3 linked regions of the Lepisosteus oculatus genome follow. The protein of the gene in region 2 binds, or shares a complex with, the protein of the main gene of each other region. Links are inferred from orthologs where the notes say so. Each region holds a gene or a part of one and is shown on either strand. Other genes may lie near its edges. The genes, in order: gsk3ba, axin1 and dvl2.

What was found.
Region 1: the proteins of axin1 (region 2) and gsk3ba are in contact, whole or in part, in a crystal structure (PDB 4B7T), measured with the Homo sapiens proteins. The link is inferred for Lepisosteus oculatus from reciprocal best matches to the Homo sapiens genes AXIN1 and GSK3B. Residues at the interface, in NP_003493.1 of Homo sapiens: Glu384, Pro385, Gln386, Phe388, Ala389, Glu391, Leu392, Ile393, Arg395, Leu396, Glu397, Val399, Gln400; in NP_001139628.1 of Homo sapiens: Ile228, Phe229, Val263, Asp264, Leu266, Val267, Ile270, Lys271, Asn287, Tyr288, Phe291, Lys292, Phe293, Pro294, Gln295, Ile296.
Region 3: the proteins of axin1 (region 2) and dvl2 are in contact, whole or in part, in a crystal structure (PDB 6JCK), measured with the Homo sapiens proteins. The link is inferred for Lepisosteus oculatus from reciprocal best matches to the Homo sapiens genes AXIN1 and DVL2. Residues at the interface, in NP_003493.1 of Homo sapiens: Arg821, Tyr823, Lys825, Lys826, Glu830, Phe831, Val835, Val836, Phe837, Glu838, Glu839, Lys857, Glu859, Asp862; in NP_004413.1 of Homo sapiens: Lys15, Ile17, Tyr18, Glu23, Glu24, Thr25, Pro26, Tyr27, Leu28, Val29, Val46, Leu47, Gln48, Arg49, Pro50, Phe81, Arg84.

The regions. Positions count from the first base shown.
Region 1 is NC_090710.1:19,227,228-19,230,974, forward strand, and holds the start of gsk3ba (glycogen synthase kinase-3 beta), read left to right. Parts: upstream 1-1,426; 5' UTR 1,427-2,306; coding exon 2,307-2,394; intron 2,395-3,747. UniProt on the Homo sapiens protein: Constitutively active protein kinase that acts as a negative regulator in the hormonal control of glucose homeostasis, Wnt signaling and regulation of transcription factors and microtubules, by phosphorylating and inactivating glycogen synthase (GYS1 or GYS2), EIF2B, CTNNB1/beta-catenin, APC, AXIN1, DPYSL2/CRMP2, JUN, NFATC1/NFATC, MAPT/TAU and MACF1.
Region 2 is NC_090714.1:610,811-614,557, forward strand, and holds the start of axin1 (axin-1), read left to right. Parts: upstream 1-1,072; 5' UTR 1,073-1,219; intron 1,220-1,744; exon of another isoform or gene 1,745-1,917; intron 1,918-3,747. UniProt on the Homo sapiens protein: Component of the beta-catenin destruction complex required for regulating CTNNB1 levels through phosphorylation and ubiquitination, and modulating Wnt-signaling.
Region 3 is NC_090698.1:8,841,142-8,844,888, forward strand, and holds the start of dvl2 (segment polarity protein dishevelled homolog DVL-2), read right to left. Parts: upstream 2,408-3,747; 5' UTR 2,198-2,407; coding exon 2,037-2,197; intron 1-2,036.

The sequences.
Region 1 (3,747 bases), on a different chromosome or scaffold from region 2:
TAAATATTTTTAAGCCATATCTTAAAGCAGCCATATCACCCTGCAACTCACAACTGGTAACCCACTGAAGCTAAGCAGGTGTGAGCCTGGTCAGTACCTGGATGGGAGACCTCCTGGGACAAACTAAGGTTGCTGCTGGAAGAGGTGCTAGTGGAGCCAGCAGGGGGCGCTCACCCTGTGGTCTGTGTGGGTCCTAATGCCCCAGTATAGTGACGGGGACACTATACTGTAAACAGGTGCTGTCCTTTGGATGAGACGTAAAACCGAGGTCCTGACTCTCTGTGCTCATTAAAAATCCCAGGGCGTTTCTCGAAAAGAGTAGGGGTGTAACCCCGGCGTCCTGGCCAAATTTCCCATTGGCCCTTACCAATCATGGCCTCCTAATAATCCCCCTCTATGAATTGGCTTAATTACTCTGCTCTCCTCCCCACTGATAGCTGATGTGTGGTGAGTGTACTGGTGCACTATGGCTACCGTCACATCATCCAGGTGGTGGAGGGGAGTCCCCATTACCTGTAAAGTGCTTTGAGTGGAATGTCCAGAAAAGCGCTATATAAGTGTAAGCAATTATTATTAACAAACATGTTAAAACCTAATGAATGTCTTCACCAGAAAATAACATAAGAAAGTTTACACAAGAGGAGGACAAACACAGGTGGGAAGCTTGTTTTAAACTCCCACAAATCTCTGTGGTAAGAAATTCCTATTCTCCTTGTGTTCTATTTTAAATGCAGTTCCATGGTGTTCCCAGTTGTTTCATTTGCAGTATTGCTACACCCCCATGTTGATGTCTTCTGGACAGTTCACAAATATATTAAAGAAATGTTTCCTGTAACTGACACCTGCCTCACATTTGCGAGAGTAGACATAGAAGCAGAGCACATTTTTAGATATCTGTCCAAATTACCAACAGTTAGGTTAACCTTCTAAAGATGGCGCCCATTTTGAAGTACGCTAACGTAATTGACTCTAGCATGATATGGGATATCTATGGTTAATCTAGAGCGGCCTTGCTCTTTGCTGCGTAATTTGCACTCACGACCAACGAGATTGGTGAACACCCGGCGTCCTTCTAAAATTCGATTGGACTTTGCTCAGTCACTCCTGACGCAAACCCACCTCAGCCCGCCTCTGTTACCTATTTATGGTCGTTTTCGTTACAGCTGGTGGCATTCGGCTATCTTCGGAAAAATGGGGGCATGGGAGGTGGGAGGAGGGGGGGGCGCAGTCCCATTGGCCCTCAACCCCCGGATCTCTCCGCCCGTCTCGCTCCAGATTGGCTGACAGAACCTCCTCACGTCTGCTTGCGCGTTCACAATGTCCGATTCTCGCACAGCAGCTACTGCAGTCTGGTGACGTAGCCCACGCTGTTCGCAATTAGCCGTGGCGCCTTTGTCCGTACATTACGCAAATGACGTTGTGCGGGTCGGAGTGACAAAGAGAGCGAGCACAGAGACAGACGGAGACGGAATAGAAAAAGAAATTCTGAATTTGTGAGAGTGGCAAAATTGCTATTTCCCACTTAACTAGGCATCTAAGGCACTTTTTCGACCCCCGGCTTTATCCCAGAGAGTTCAGATTATAACATCTGTGTGTATGGGGCCGGAAGAGGCGGAAGAACTGGGGAGATCTTTTGATTTAAAATCGGGAAATTGGAAATTTTTCATTTGAATTGTTGGTTGGGCTGAGCAAGGAAGCCGCCATGGCTGAAGCTGTCGGATCATTGAGTCTCCACCTCAGAATATGAAGCAGATTTTCGTGGCTGCCTTGTGTAATCGGCGATATTTTAAGAGAAAGTTTGCGTTTTAGAAAAGCAAATCGGATCCGATTTTTTAAATAAAAAAGATCTAAGCGACCTTGTGTTCCTTAAAATAAATTAAAGGGAGTTTTTTTTAAAAAAAAAGATAGAAGATACCGTGGAGGGGGAGGAGAGAGAAAGGTTAGCCGTTTTCCATGAGACACTGGGAAATCAAAGACGTTTTTCTTTTGAAGGCCTGATCGTTGGAGCAGGAGGAGAAGACGAAGCAAGGAAAGGGGCCTTTTTTCCCTGGGAGAAAAAGGGATGATTTGAAAGGAGACCCGGGTCTGGGTGGACAGGAGACGCCAGGAATCGAGTGAAACCGGGAAGGGGCCGAGAGCCGTGGGGAGCTGCTTCCGTTTGCCGAGATACGCTGGCCGTCGGCTCCGACCGGGGGGAAGACCGCAGCGACAGATCTGATCCCAGCAGCAGCAGCAGCGGCCGAGAGAAAGGCGGCGAGAGAGAGAGAGAGAGGGGTGGGGGAGACGGAGATCGGTGAAGAGGGATCATGTCCGGACGGCCCAGGACCACCTCCTTCGCGGAGAGCTGCAAGCCGGTGCAGCCGCCGTCCGCGTTTGGCAGCATGAAAGTCAGCAGTAAGTGTCACCCAGCCTGCGTCCGACTGTCAGCGCCCGGGCCGCGCCGGCGGCGAGCGTGTGTCTGTCATACTGAATCGTGCGATTTGAATTGACGACGCTTGGGCTCTGGCTGTTAGATTTTTTTTTTTCTTGGGCGGTCGAGAGGTGATGGTGTTACTTGTCTATGCGGTCTATGGCGTTTTTATTCGGCGAGAAAGCCGGCCCCTTCGTAGCACGGTTGAGGTCTGACATCGGTATCGATAATCGATACGGTGCTTTCGATACGGAAGTGCATCCCTAATAAGCCAAACGTGCATTTTAATAATACACGTAGACGCTTAGAATAAGACCGCTAAGCGTAAGAGTAATGTAGAACCAGTTGTTCACACGGATTCGTGCAAAATGATTTTGATGATCATGCTGCACAGTCTGCGATGTAGCATCTGTCAGGCGTTAAAGCTACAGGCCGATTCCTCGCTGATAATCAGTTCTGTGTGACTTCATCGAGGAAGTGGATTGGTGATAAACCAACAGTATTGGAGAGACTGGGCTCCGAGTGTCTGCCAGAGTAACAAGGCGAGCGTAGTGTGCAACCGTATTTCACTTAATGCCAGAAGGACACTTCGACATCCTTTAACTGCTGTATTTGTTGTCCTTGCTATAGCTCAAAAGAAAATAATTCACGACAAAGTAAAAACAGTTCCGCACCACAATTTTAACATCCCCTTCCATTGACTAGTTGTGTGGGTGGTACTGTACTGCCTTTGCTATTTCAAGCAGTAGAATTATTAATACCGCGTTTCAGTGCTGGTGTCGGGCACCCTTCCACATATCTCACGCGGGAAAGAAGACGGCTTTCTGTCTGAGGAGCTAGGTGGAAGTTTGTGTTTGGCACAAATATGTGTCATACTGAATTTAGAAGACAAGCTTGCAACAACGGGGAGGGAAAGAGAGTTCCGCGTTTTCCGCAGAGAAGGGGCAGGGGTTTTGAATGTTGTGGTTAAAGGCTGTGAAAGATTGCGTTGACTGGTGTATGGGTTTTCAATATCACGTTTAATGTTTGAAAACTTGGTCTGAGGTGTGTGGATTTAATCTGTTGAATGTTCTTTGTGTGTGGATATGTGATGCTCCTGGTCCTGGACAGCCTGGGGTATCATGGTTTTCCAAGCTGTCTTTAAAGTAGTAGTAACTCAAGAGCTGGGCGGAGCTGTTGAACAGGTCCAGTTAAGCCGTTAACTAGCTGGTGTAGCTCGTTAAGAGATGGAATGAAAACTGCAGACGCACTAGTTCTCCAGGACCAGAACTGCACACCCCCAGTTTAGTGTTGCCTCATCCTTACCAAATGATAGGAAGCTGAACCTGGCACCAGTG
Region 2 (3,747 bases):
GTTAATTCAAGGACAAATAGGAATGTTAAATATCTTATCAAGATCCACAAAATATCCAAATCATCAATTCATTTGAAGATTTCTTAAACCCCCAATCTTTTCTGTGAAGACATGTTTTAAATTTTCCTTTTTGAGAATTTGGGGTGTTTTTCTCTCTTCGCGATTGCAGTCCTGTATTACTGTGAAGTCCTTGCTCCCTCTTCTTTGTCCTACAGCAGGACAGGACAGAGGGATCTTGCAGTGCTTCCTGTGCCCTTTAATCCGTGTTCATCCCACAGCGCTAGAGGAGCTCCTAACTTCCAGAAGTGTTAGAGGCGGACGAGGTCATTGCTTCAACTTTGTAAAGTCCTACACAGAGCGAAATATACTTCAGAGCAGTGATGCACACTAACTCAGAACACACACCTTACAAAATCTAGATTTGCACGCAGTTTGCACACAGAACAATTGGGTTACAGAATGAAAAGAATAAAAACATTTTTGTTCTGTAAAAAAGTCCTTTACTTTGTCAAGTCTGTAAACCAATATAGTATTTGTAGTTTTCCTCATCTTTATATAATATTAGAATATTACAACATTATTTCAAATAAAATCATTTCTGCTTGGAAAAAAGTCTGTAATTTCTAAGTTAACAGTACATAAAAAATACACAATTTAGCAAAGGTGTCCACGATTCTCTTTGTGCCATCAATCTCAGCATATTTGAAGAGAAAGCATTAACAAAGTTACATAACCCTGGTCGTACTGCCAGGTAGCGTCAAAAGGACAATGAAAATTAACATTTCAACAAGCCTGATTATTTTTGTGTTTAGTCGGACTGGCAACTTTTCTTTATAGCTGTAGACACACACACCACCTCAACAGTGATGAGTTCAACTCAAACTAAAGGCTAGATGCTGCTCTTTTGAATAAAAAATCCATGAATTTCTTCCTTTATCTCCATTTTGCAAACATAGCCTGTTTGGTCACTGTAAGAGGCAGCTCCCAGCGCATTATTGAAGTACATTTATCCACACACAGATGGGTTTCAAACATGCACGCACAAAACCCGACACCTTTATGCAAAATGTTTTCGTGCAGCATCATCGACACAAATGTAAGTGGCAGCCGACGCGGAGGCTGCTGGACAGTGTGAGTGGAAAATCGGATCTTGTGGGAAGGGTTTGCTGGGCTTGACCCTCGCTGCCTCAGACAAGCGAGTGTGAAATCCACATGAAAGGTAAGCAGCTGATAACACTTTGGTACAAAGGGAATATTATTTCTTTTTCCCATTTTTTCCCCTTCACTTTTATCTTTGAACCCTCTCTTGTCTTGTTTCACCTTTTTTGTTGTTGTTGTTCTCCTTTGTCTCTTCGTCTTCAATAAGACACGTACCAGCCTCTTGATTCGAAACCAAACTCAACTTTATTCTTTATTTATGAACGCAGCAAGTGATACTAGCGGATGATAGGAAAAGCATTATGTTACCAAGTCTCTTTCTTTTTTTCCTCTGCCTTTCTCGGCGCAGGCTGGTCCATTGATCGAACTTGCTCAGCTTAGCTGTTATTTGAAAGCCAATTGATTTATTTATTGTCATTTATACTCTTAGTGTGGAGTACAATAAAATGCTGAAATAGCGCCTTATTTTGTATGTTTATCCAGCAATTATGAGCAAATCACTCATGCCTAAGGGGTCTGTTGCCATAGTTACAATAGGGTTCTAAGCACTATCATCTGGTCCTTGCGTCATCCAATCAGGTTGGAGAGCCAAAGCTGCAACATAAAGTAAAGATGCACATCTTTCAGCAACACAGTAGTAAGAAACAGAAACAGGTTCATGAGTATAAGTAAGTACTCAGGGTGGCAAGTAGGCGACTGCGCCCAGTCATGGCGGAACACGAAAATCAGACCCGACGAACTACTCAGCAGGAGAGGCAGGTGAGAGCATCGTCCCTACCGATTTAACTCCCTTCATTCTTCTTCGAAAAGTGCTCTGTGAATCAAAAACACAGGGACAGTAAACAAGATTAGTCTTTTAACGTTCAGCTTCCGAAAAAAAAAAGCGAGAAGATGAATGAAACAAGGGAAGGGGCAGGGGCGAGCGGGTCGGCCAGACTTTAAAATTATTGTTGTAGGCCTTTCAGATCAAATTTTGTTAAAAACAGCGCCGTCAAAGCACTCCAGCTGGGCTCTCGCATAGTTCCGATATATTTTTTCCAATTCTTATGTTGGGAGAATTAAGCGACCAAGTCAGTTTGGCTGAATGAGAGTGTGCGTCTGTGTGTGTACAAAAAAAAGCGGGCCTAGATTAATCATAGTATTCTAAATCTCATTACTCGGAACATCTGAGAAAAGATATTTTCAAAAGCCTCTATTAAGGAGCTGTAAATGGAGGCCTTTATGAGATCAAAGGCACTTGAACTGGGACGAATTTTTGTTTGCAATCCCTATGTTTAAGCAAGGCTTGAATGTAGGCAGCGGATCTGCCGGACGGCAGCGATGGCCAGCCTGAGCTCCATATCCCAGAGACCTCCTGCTGCGCGGCCCGTGAGCCTGTCGATACTGCAATGTGATGTCAGTCAGAAGAAAGAACCACCATAACAATCAGTGGGGAAGGAAAAAAGGACTCGCAAACGAACCCAGTTATGATTAAAGATGGCGGCCATACATACCGCAGTGTGCGTAACGCGCCACGGTCTGTAAAAAAGCAATCGGAAACCGTTTTTTATTCGGAAAACACCCGATAGAAAAATACAAACATTGGGTAACTCCATAGATCAGGCTAGGAGTCGGGATCATGCCCACAGCTTTCCCAGCTTGCATTCATCTTGAAATCAATTGTTGTGCTGTGGAGTGCTTTCCTATGGTAGGTGCGCTGTTGTTGTTTTCCTAGTTTTCGTGCCTCTTGCGGACTTGGCTGCAGTCAGCCAGCGGATTTAACTGGGCAGCACAACAATGGCTCGACTGCTATCAGCGCATCTGAAAACTAACACACCACAGATCATGATGAGCTTTCGTGCTTTTTTCCTTGTGTTCATTCATCATCAGGCTTTCCTTGTCCAAAGTGTACCGCCTTTGGAGGCACAGCTCTGGGTTAGAGTCAATACTGCCTTTCTCCAAATACACTAAATTAACAGAAGGACATCACCCGGTTTTGAAGATGTATGCATATTTTTCCAACGTAGTTCTGTAATAATAAGCAAAACAATATTAAATAAACTCTAGGAGGCAAATCTTTTAATCCACTGTGGCTAATCCACTCTCGGGTTTGCTAGTCATGAGATATTCAGCGATGACAAAAGACATCAGCAGGAGTCCAGAATACATTTTGTGACAGTCTTTTGGTACTTTTGCTCTTTTAAGACAGCACTAAAAAAGAGCAGCATATCAATACTCAAACCCACAAGTACTCCTTCTTCTTTTCATTCAAATAACTTCATTAGTCTTGATCAAAATCAAAAGATTTCAGACCAGCATAGTGTAGCCCAGATCCCCAACTGTGATGAAAAATCTTCTTTTTTCTGTTAAAAACAACAAAATAATCTGAGATGAATTAGTAGTAGGATCACATCATCTGCTTCACAATGTTACTTATAAACTAGCCTAGTCGTGTGAATTTATTTAAATTATTGTTATTATCACATACGAAAATTACTTCTTATGCTACCACATTGTGCAGTGTACCTGTAGATTTGTTTCAATAAAAGTGCATCTTGAAAATGACATTTTTGAATGTACAATAAACTTACATTCCTTTTAATGTCTAAA
Region 3 (3,747 bases), on a different chromosome or scaffold from region 2:
ACCGAACCTCGGACTTTCTGAGACTCTCCCGTCGCTGCTCCACGGTTACGGGGGGGTGCCTTTCCTCAGACGCGACGAGACAAATTCTCGTTTTATTTATTTTTTATCGTACTTTTTTGGGATTTTTCTTTATCACTATGCATATGCCATCTGTGGGTTTGGAAAGGCACTTTCGAAGTAAAAGCTATTGTTCCCGTTATTAAGAGGCGAGTCATGAGCAGTCCGGGTGGTAACACACAAAGCGAGGGCAAGCGTGGCTCCTCTGAGCTGCCACCACGTACAGCGACTGCATTATCAGGACACTCTCAGACTGCACTCATGTGACAGACGAGCTGCGGAACATTTGAAGCCATTAAGCAAAGCTGATGAATACCATGACAAAGGAGTTTAAAACCAGCATAACCTCTCGAGCTACTTCCTTCAATGTAACCCTAGCTGTACTGTGCACTGCACACATGCACACAGAACAATACCAACACCCTGCCACTGAAGCAAACGAGTCAAGACAGTATTCTGCTCACTGAGTTCACGTGCTTCAATTTTTCCCTCAAGTCCCCAAGTCAGAACTGCTCGTACTGGGAATCCCCTCACAAACAAAACGGATGAAATTTCTTTAAACACACCCTGGGGGGAGGGGGTAAGGGGGGAGGGCGTTTTCCTGGGAGAGGCGAGTGGGAATTTGGGAAGAGAACATGCTAACTCCACACAGACGGGTGTCCCCGTCTGGAACTGAAGGCCAGACCCCCCTGGAGCTGGGAGGCAGCGGTGAGCGCCGCCATGACGCCTGGGAGAGAGAGAGAGAGGGCTTCCAAGAACAAAAAAAAAAAAGCTGCAGACCGGGGCCGCAGATCTGAAGAGATCTCCCTTCGGCGTCTAAGCAGGAAACCTAAATCCTCAAATCGGCCCCGAATTGAGGAAATCGTAGAAATGAACGAGGTCATTTAAAAGGAAGCGGCTCTCGAAAAATGGAAAAAGAGAGAGGGAGGGAGCGAGGGGGGTTCTGGGAGGCAGAAATCTGGCGGAGTTTCCAAAAAAAAAAGATTTCACAACAGAAAAAAGAAAGGATTAAGCAGGTAGTGAAAAAGAGCACTAATCCCTCTTAGAAAAGTTCTCTCGTCTGTGGGTTTTTTTTTTTTACTCCTTCTCGGGAGCCGAAGCTGTTCGTTTTGTTCGCCGGAATAATAGAAATTCCTACTTTTTTTTCTTTGCAAAGACAGACAAACACAGCACAGGAGAGAGAGAGAGAAACGGTACAATTTGGGAAGGGGGGGGGGGTACAGGCTACACCGCCACCCCACGTCCACACTCGCTGATTTTCTTTAATTACAGTCAGTCTGGAGGAAAACAAAAAAAAAATGAGGACGACTTTCCTGGACTGCAGAAGGCGTCTCGCAAAAATCTACTGTAGATTTTCCCCGACCCCCCCCAGAAAAAAAGACGGAAACCTTATGTTTCTGCCGAAACGTGCTTCCCATTTTGTTAGTGGGGGAGGAAGCGTACGCGAGCTTTTTAAAGGTTTTCGTTCCTTAAATCCCCAAGGAATGTCAGCACGGGGGGGGGGGGAAGCACAGCCAAGTTTCAGAAACAAAGACGAACACCTCCACCTCTGCAAGCACATACAAAGCTGAATAATTTACCTCCTCCCTCGTTCGACCCCTGTGCTCCAAGCCCCTAGATAAAACAAACTGCGCGTCTTCGCAAAGGGTCAAAATCTACCCCCCCCCTTCTTAATCCGACCTCCATTTAAGACGGGGGACCTGAGCGCAAGGAACCCCTCGAATTGCACCCGATGCCCTTCTCGTGTCCAAAAATGAATTCTCATTGAAACTACCCAACGGCGCCCGAAAGATACAGCCCCGCATTTTTTAGGGGAAAAATACAGCACGATAGCCACGTTCCCCGGCAGAGAACCCCTTGCACACATTTTTAAATCCGTTTCGTGTGTGTGTGTGTGTTTTTTATAACTGATCCAACAGATGTACTTTTGCACCGTGCCCTCCCGTACGGTAACAACCCGAGACACGCATCGCCCTCACCCGAAATCCTGATCCATAGATTTGAAGAAGAACTTGTAGTTCGGTTTGTTCAAGACCTGCTTGAAGTCCAGCAGCGTGATTTTCTCCGCGGCGATGGGGATTTTCACCAGATACGGCGTCTCCTCCTCGTCAATGTGGTAGATGATTTTCGTCTCCGCCATTTCCAACTTCTTTTCTGCGAACCGACGGGGGATGCCGAGCGGACACCCAGCTCGCTGTTGCGGCTGGATCGGTGTCGTGCGCGCCGGGCTTTAAGGTTACAAACTGAACTTTCTCCGCTCTCCCACCCCCTCAACTTTTGCCGTGTTTCCCGAACCACAGCAGAGGAGGACGGAGGAAAGGAGTAGGGGCGGGCGGGCGGGCGGGCGGGGGGGGGGCAGACGGACGCCGGAAAAAAAAAATCAAAACAAAAACTTTCTAACAACTGAGGGGAGGGGGGGGGAGAAGAGTGAGAGAGGGAAAAAAAAACTTTCTCTGTGAGCCAGCGCGGCGTCTGACGTCAGGTGGACGCCGCTTGCGTCCTGGCCGACGTGCCCCCTGCCCCCTTCCCCACACGTGTGCCGGCTAGTCGCGGGAGCGCAGAGGCCATAGGCCCACAGACCGCCCCAATCCTCACTCGGGACCTGCGCTGCAGCCGGCAGCAAGTTCAAATTACACCCACGAGCGCTGGCGAAACCTCGGTCGCGCAATTCCCTCCTCCTCAAGCTGCATCCCTGCGAATCGCTCTTAAATCACCCACCTTGTGAGGGACAGTAAGTGAATTCGAAAAGCCCATTTCTTTGGGGTTCCAGGTGAACAGATGCTCCTCTAGAGTTTCAGCCAGTACTCCTTATACAAAGCACAATTCCCCTCTGTCTCCCCCACCACAGGAAAGAAACTTTATTCCAGGCCCCATGTCACCTCTCTACTGCTGCAGGGATGCACATGACAAAAAAAACGGTTATGTGCATCCCTTTTGAATTGTCACACACAAATCAACAACAACAAAAAAAAACATCAGTTGTCACCAGCCTCCTGGGAGCGGTCATGTGACCATTTGCTGCATCACTTCCTGTTACCAAGGTTGCTGCAGGTGGTACCAGAGGCCCAGTTGGTTATGGTGAAGTACAGGACTCCATAAACTCTGAAGGAGGTTTCTCCTCCCCCCATGAACCTGGCCCAGTGCTTATAGCTACAAGGGCTGACCGATTTCCACCAGTGGGTGTGGAAGGCAGCTCCTCTGGTGGTCTTTGTACAACCTAAAATAGTTGTCCTTTTCCGTAAGACCCCCAACCCTTCCTCCAGCAAAACAGCACACCAGCTTACTTCAGAAGCTGTTCAGTAAAGAAAGATCTTGGCATCCATAATACCTAAAGGGCAGTTTCTCTTCAATACCCCTTAGCCTTAGTAGGACTCCTTCAATGTGCAGGAAGACCCTTCTGCCTCAGAAATATAGAAACTTAGCCCCATATCCTCTTAAGAAAGGGTTTCTACAGTGTGAACAGGTTCTCTCTATGAGGCCCCAGACTGTGCAGTTACTATTTCCATTCTTACTTCAAGTAGTGAGCCAACTGCAAACACCTCAAGATTAGGGGGACTGCATTTGCAAGACAGGTCTTTAGAAGCAAAGCATGATTGTCAAAGAAAAAAAAACTGAAACTCCAAAAGAACCCATTTATTTTTTAAAATACTGTCAAATTTTACAGATTTATGTTCTGGATTAAAGATCTTG